2 linked regions of the Arabidopsis thaliana genome follow. The protein of the gene in region 1 interacts with the protein of each later gene in a pairwise test. Each region holds a gene or a part of one and is shown on either strand. Other genes may lie near its edges.

Region 1 (3,933 bases):
GACTATATACACTCACCATCTACACAATTAGGCTATTGAATACATGTTTTTACGTACATTTAAGAATGGGCCTTATTAGCGATTATGTGTACATTATGAAAGTATATATTTCTTCTGTATACCAGAAAATGAATATACAATAATAACTTTAAACTTGAACCTCTTATTGTACAACTGTCCAAAGCCACCGTATTAATGGGCGTGGATGAGTAGGTGTAGCTTTTAATATGGCAACCAACATTATGATATCGTTCACATATAATCCTCAATTCTGTATTTCTAGTTCGCGTTGTAAGTTTCTAACACCTAGAACGCAGTCAGGACTGTAGTTTATCTTTTTATATATCTAATCAGGTCGTCTCTCGATTCGAAAGTCGGACTAGCTATTGCATTGCATGCACCCATATATATATGCATCATGTCAATTTTGCGACATCAGATAATATTGCTAATTTTGCATAAGAACGTGTAAGGATTTAGTAGCAACTAGCAATGAAGAGTGGGTGAAAGTTTTGAATTTCAACATTTGATATCGGTCATTTGTGTAAAAACAATATATAATAGTTTTCAGAGAAAATTACGGCGATACATATGTAGCTGAATTCTTGTACTATATATAAAGTTGAATTTGTAAAAGTGCTATGCGTTCTTATTTGTTATCAAGTTGATACGTTCTCATATTCCATAAGTGTTCTTTAACTCTTCTATTCATTTCGAACAAAACGAGATTTAGTAATCAAACGTTTACGTATACACTTTTCATCAAATTAAAATGAACAAATAGTAGTTAGCTTAGCTTGTCCAGAAAAAAAAAAGAAAAAGGAACAAATACTAGTAGGCTTTTGAGCTGGCTGCTTTTATTGAAGGGCCTTGCCAATTAACTTCAGAGACGAAGTAGATTGATGATAGATATTAACTTCTATCTCCATCTAACCAAATGCCAATAAATCATATCAGTCCTCTTCTCTGACAAATTTCGTTAGTTTATTACTACTAGCTACTTTATTTTATTGTTATGTATATACGGTTAAAACAGTAGATATCATGGCGTGCATAACTGCAAATGTTAAGAATATTTGTTAGCATTGTAATGGATTTCCGGTAAAATAATTACTTAAATATATACGGAGTGGACAAGAAATATAAGCCGACAAGTAGTGTGACTGACTATATTTTTTCCATAAAAACATTTAAGTTTCTCTTCTAACCATAATGTGATCCGCTTCAATTTTGGGTTGGTGGAGCCGTATACACGCACTGATTAATTCAGTTTCTTTTTTCAACCATAGCGTGTGTGTGAAACAAAAAAAAAGTATATGCATGCTCATCCTGCAATCTCTATAACAATAAAATTAACCATATTTGCGGATCAAAAGTTTCGTGTGTCAAAAGTTGTACGCATATGTCTCGTGCAATAACGTTGATGAGGGAAACAAAAAATAAAATTTGAATGCCGTTGTCGTATTAAGGAAAAAAAAGTCAATGTGTTTCAACCACCCTGCATGAAAAATATCATAAAGTGCCGCATAGACGAAAGTAACAACGAGAAGATGGACCATGACGACATTAAATAAATGATACACAATACAAAATAATAGGAACCGCCGAATCCAATTATTGTTGGTAAAAAAAAAAAAAACTAAACGTTAATTAATTCGGAAGTAATTATTACGATCAATCTTCAGAAAAATCTTTGATAAGACCATTATATAAACGAGAAGAAGTCTCACTATAATCATATCATCACCTTCCCCACTAATACTCTATAGTTTGTTTTTGTTCTTCTTATAATCTTTATATTTTCAGCAAACGAAAGGGAAGTGTGTCAGAAATCTCAGAGGGTGAGAATCCCAATGAGGATCTTACCCGAACCTCGAGGTTCGGTTCCGTGTCTTCTCCTTCTTGTGTCGGTTCTCTTATCAGCGACTCTCTCACTCGCTCGTGTCGTCGAAGTTGTCGGTTACGCCGAGAGCAAGATCAAAACCCCCCATGCATTTTCAGGTATCTCATAACTTACATTAATATCTTATGTACTATATAGTTTATTTTTTTGTGAATATATATTTGATCAATGTGTGATATTATTTGTTATAGGACTTCGAGTGACGATCGACTGTAAGGTGAATAAAGGCCATTTTGTTACAAAAGGTTCGGGAAACATTGACGACAAAGGAAAGTTTGGTCTTAATATTCCTCATGACATTGTCTCCGACAACGGAGCGTTAAAGGAGGAGTGTTACGCTCAGCTTCACAGCGCGGCGGGAACACCTTGTCCGGCTCACGACGGCCTTGAGTCCACCAAGATCGTGTTTTTATCCAAATCCGGGGATAAACACATTTTGGGTCTCAAACAAAATCTGAAATTTTCACCGGAGATTTGCGTTTCCAAATTCTTCTGGCCTATGCCTAAGTTGCCTCCTTTTAAGGGCTTTGATCATCCTTTCCCTTTACCTCCACCTTTGGAACTTCCACCGTTTCTCAAGAAGCCATGTCCACCTAAATACAGTCCTCCTGTGGAGGTTCCACCCCCGGTACCAGTTTACGAGCCGCCGCCAAAGAAAGAGATTCCCCCGCCGGTTCCGGTTTACGATCCACCGCCTAAGAAAGAGGTTCCACCACCTGTCCCAGTTTACAAGCCACCACCAAAGGTGGAGCTTCCACCGCCTATTCCTAAGAAGCCTTGTCCACCTAAACCGCCGAAGATAGAGCACCCACCTCCGGTTCCGGTTTACAAGCCACCGCCAAAGATAGAGAAGCCACCTCCGGTTCCGGTTTACAAGCCCCCGCCAAAGATAGAGCACCCACCTCCCGTTCCGGTACACAAGCTACCGAAGAAGCCATGTCCGCCTAAGAAAGTTGATCCACCGCCGGTGCCAGTCCACAAACCACCAACGAAGAAGCCTTGTCCGCCTAAGAAAGTTGATCCACCGCCGGTTCCAGTCCACAAGCCGCCGCCAAAGATAGTCATTCCACCGCCGAAGATAGAGCACCCACCTCCAGTTCCGGTTTACAAGCCGCCGCCGAAGATAGAGCATCCACCAATCTACATACCACCAATTGTGAAGAAGCCGTGTCCTCCGCCGGTACCAATATACAAACCACCGGTTGTGATCCCCAAGAAGCCATGCCCTCCGCCGGTACCAGTATACAAACCACCGGTAGTGGTGATTCCAAAGAAGCCATGTCCGCCACTTCCACAGCTCCCACCACTTCCAAAGTTTCCACCTCTTCCTCCTAAATACATTCACCACCCCAAGTTCGGGAAATGGCCTCCGTTGCCTCCACACCCTTGAGAAACATTAAATACGTATATATAGATATACGTATACTCATGTATAATCAACGTGTTTGCCTTTTTTTAATATTTTATCTTTGCATATGTTTTATATCTTGTTTCTTTTGTTGGCTTTGAGTTCTCTTTGTGTAGACTGGTTGTTTATATTCCCGCAATCTTCCAACAATAATATGGTAATGATACGTTTCTCTTTTATCATGAGATGATCAACAAGAATTTTGCGTTAAAGAGTCCTCGGGAGAAAAAACTTGCTTGCGTTTTCGCGCGCATAAACGTTTTTGACCATATTTTTGTCACTAAGCGACAACATATGGGAGATTAATATATACGTACATTTTTTGTAAAAAAGGTGAAAAAATGGGAGATGGTAAAAGAAAGGCAGATCTTTCATAAGATATTCGCATAAGCCTAGTTTTATTTGCTCCCTACTGGTGAATCAATCACCTATCCATACGTTGTCGACAGTCCACTGAGACTAATAATATATCTGACGAATAAATTCAATCTTCTAAACAATATGAAAAATACATACAGAAAAATATTTTACATGTCGGCTACAATAGTGGGAAAACGTAGATGGGTTTTTAGGCCCTTTAGTGATAAACTGATAGGATAAAATTCAGGGCCCATTAAACCCA
Region 2 (3,933 bases), on another chromosome or scaffold:
CGCTGCCTTAGCTCATGCTTTAGGTCTCCTTGTTATTTGTTTCTGTTGTCGCTAACATTTCTGGTGGCCACGTTAACCCTGTCGTTACATTCGGTGTCTTTCTCAGTGTGTCAGAGGTAACATCATTCTCCTCAGTGGTATTTTCTACTTGATTGCTCAGCTTTTTGGCTCAGTCGCCGCGTATTTCCTCCTTATCTTTCCCACTGGTGACGAGGTAACATCACTTATTACACTTATTGCCTTACTAAACCAGGTTAGTATTGTTTTCAATTTGATTTTAGTTGTAATTTCGATTATTGGTTTTTTTCTTCTTCTCTATTTTCTTCACAGTTGTTATTAACCAAGAATAGTAAATATTTAAGATTCGTATAATACAATAATGTTTCTATTATATTTATAATTTCAAGCTGAGACTAATGTTAATATTTAGATATTTTAAATAGAAAATCATATGTTTAGTAAATATTTACCAGGTAATGGAAGATTTGTGTTGGCAAAACCAACCAAGTGAGCGTAATTGTAAACTTTAAACCCAATCGCCTATGTCTATAATCATAATAATTTAATATCTTTAATAACACCATACCAACATATATGAACTTCATACGTTAAAAAATAACTTGAAAGAATCACAATCGTTATAATTTACCGTTTATTTTTCTTCCTATCATTTTATAAAAAACAACTATATTTTCTAATTGATCGACACACATTTCACCAGCTAAATTTGTTATGAAATCAACATGTTAGAGGATTTGTTACAAATTTAAGGTTAATAGTGCTCAAGAAAATATTTAAAAATATAGAAAGAGTGATGGTTGAAGTTCTTACTTATGATAGGTTCATATGTTGAATTAATTACTAATTATATTTTACTTATTTTAATAAGTCTAGGTGGCAAGCTCTCATGTGCTGATGTGTCAAGTTGTGGGAGAGAGTTGAGCTCCTTTCATATATATAATTTACGTTATATTTTGCCTCTTAAGTTTTGTAGTGACCATCATAATTTCTCTTTTGATGTCTTTGTGGGCAAATGAGGTAATCTAGAAAGAAATTACATGGATGAAGATGATATAGAACATACGAGATCTGATGAATGACAGATTACTATAGTTTTTCTTTTCCCTAGTTAATGTTGTTAATAAGGGGATAATTTTGCTAAATTTGGTAAAAGTACATGAATTATATATGATATGTGATTTAGTCAAGAAAAATTATGTGAACCTGATTAGATTTTACCATGTCTCAGGTTTTCAAGAATGCAATTTTTATTTCCATGGACTAGTTGAAATAGTTACCTATAAAATATCTTATGACATAAATCGATCTAGATATGATCTACATACAATTAGAACGCTTAAACGTGGAAACTTAATTGATGATATGCTTTATGGTGATCAAGAAGAAGATATCAACAAAGTGTTGAGATACTAACAAAAATAGTTTTTTTTTCTTGTTGTTATAAATATTGAGTCAGACTTTAAGTTACACGTATTTGCAAACTATAGTTTTGTGTTAGTTTTTTTGATATCAACACATTTCTATTTATTTGGCAACAAAATACTTTTCATAAGAGCATTTCTATGTCATATATTATAATTTATGTGATAAAGATAAAGATCACGATTTCCCGATTGACAAAGAAAATCTTATGAAATATGGAAAACATGATATGAAACACATCATATGTTTCTCATTCGTCAAGTATTTTTTATATGATATATAAAACTTTCTTTCTTTCTAGAATCCATGGCTCTTGTATAAGGTAGATTGTCTAACTCGTTACTCTAGATAGTATATTATATGAAATTTGTTTCGTAAATATTTTTCCTTAAGATTGGACTACCAATTATGAAGTAATATTTTAACTAATGTGTGGTTGACAAAATATAGAAAAAATCAAGAATCCAACCACATGTTGAGAAAAAAAATTTCTACTTCAAATACACTTACTTATTTTTATTATTTAGTCAACGAAATATTAATTTATTTATGGACATATTTTTAAAAATACCATAAAATTAATTTTTGTTATAAAACATTATTAGTAGTTTATATTTTTTTGAAAGTACCACTAAAATATATTATTTTCTGAAAATACCACAAAATTACTTTTAAAGTTTTCAAAACTAGATCCTAAACTCTAAAAAATAAACCCTAAACCCCAAAAAACTTAACTCAAACCCAAACATTTAATAAATTATAAACCCTTAAAATCAACTTTTTGTGTTTCAAGTATTTTTTGGGTATCTCTCTAATTTATTTATTTATTTCAGATTGCTCAAAAGAATAAATAAATAAAAGAATTTGGCTGTCTCATTTCCTTGTTCGGAATCGGAGAAGAAGGAAGACTAGATTCGATGTGTTGGTGAAGAAGATCTCGACTTTGTTCAAAATTCCAATTTCGCTCGCCTCAAAGATCATTCTCTCATCTTCTCGACTTTGATGCGATTGATTAAATATGGTGGATACGGTTATTCCCGGAGATATGGCTTGTTTGGATGCAGATTTGTTGCAGCTTCAGGAAATGTCTTCCTTTGTTCTCAATTCTAAACCTGGATTCACTCAGAAGCTCTTCGACCAGTGGCTTTCTCTTCCCGAAGCTCAGCGACAGGTTTCTGCTTTTTCACTATTCTTACACTCATGCTTCTTAGCTTACTCTCTGTTAGTTCGAATCTTTCTTTCGTAATGTTACAATGATACTTCGGTTGCTTACTTACTCTGTGGTGTTGAGGATTGGTGTAAAGTTTGAATCTTTCTTTGATACTGTTAGTGGGTATTACAGTGATGCCTTAGGTGGTTACTGATATTTGGTTGCTTAATTACTCTCTGGTTTCTGTTGAGGATTGGTGTAAAGTTGGGATCTTTGATAGTGTTAGTTATTACAATGATGCTTAGCTTACTGAGAATGGTGTAAAGTTCGAATATTTCTCTGATTGTGTTAGTGAGTATTATAATGATGCCTTAGGTGGTTACTTAGATTCGGTTGCTTAATTACTCTGTGGTGTAAAGTTCGTATCTTTCTTTGATAGTGTTGGTGAGTGTTACATTGATGCTTAGGTTACTGAGATTTACTCTGTGGTGTTGAAAGATTGGTGTAAAGTTTGAATCATTTTTTGATTCTGTGAGTTATGACGTATATTCTTATTTTCTTATGTGAGTATTACAATGAAGCTTACGTTAATGAGATTTGTTTGCTAAATTACTCTGTGGTGTTGAAGATTGGTGTAAAGTTTGAATCTTTCTTGGATTGTGTGAGTTATGACAATGATGCCTTAGGTGGTTAATGAGATTTGGTTGCTTAATTACTCTCTATTCACTGGAATCTCTAGTCTAATCTTTTTCTCGTTGGTTTTCTAGGTTGGATCATTGCTTAAGGATGCTGTAGCTGGAGCTCCTATCAATGTTACTGGAAGTGCATCGGGTTCTAATTCTGCCACTATACCATCTATGTTTCCTGCGGGAAGTGCTCCTCCGCTTTCACCAAGGAGTTGTGGTTCACCCCGTACAACCAAACAGAGAGCCCCTTCTAACTTAGGTTCTACTCTCAAAGTAGTCAACGAGCCTGTTAAAGAGCCTATACCTCAGGTTTCTTTTCCTCTTTTTCTTCCTTCTTTATATATATATAGTAATGGAATGGAGTTAACTCACTGATTTCTTAACTTGAAATGATTCTAGTTTTATTTCCAAAATGGTCGCCCTCCACCAAGCGAGATTAAAGAGCAATGTATGTTTAGAATCAATCACTTCTTTTATGGTCACATGGATGGCTTGCAGATACAAGGTTAGAAGTCAGTCATTTGTTTTCTACTAATTATATTTGAACTGTTTATTAACTTTTTTCTCCATTTTCAATCAATACTCAGAATTCAAGTTAGTCACCAGAGAAATCTGCAAGCTCCCATCTTTCTTCTCCACTTCCCTTTTCCGGAA

Evidence for each region.
Region 2: the proteins of PRP4 (region 1) and AT5G28900 interact in a two-hybrid assay, tested with the Arabidopsis thaliana proteins (one large-scale study listed by BioGRID).

Annotation. Positions count from the first base shown.
Region 1 is NC_003075.7:18,096,369-18,100,301, reverse strand, and holds PRP4 (proline-rich protein 4), read left to right. Parts: upstream 1-1,668; 5' UTR 1,669-1,853; coding exon 1,854-2,001; intron 2,002-2,094; coding exon 2,095-3,293; 3' UTR 3,294-3,696; downstream 3,697-3,933. Other genes in the region: AT4G38775 (uncharacterized protein), read right to left, coding at 2,435-2,496, 2,544-2,598, 2,620-2,664, 2,695-2,841.
Region 2 is NC_003076.8:10,923,391-10,927,323, forward strand, and holds the start of AT5G28900 (Calcium-binding EF-hand family protein), read left to right. Parts: upstream 1-2,244; 5' UTR 2,245-2,461; coding exon 2,462-2,614; intron 2,615-3,360; coding exon 3,361-3,588; intron 3,589-3,678; coding exon 3,679-3,784; intron 3,785-3,866; coding exon 3,867-3,933.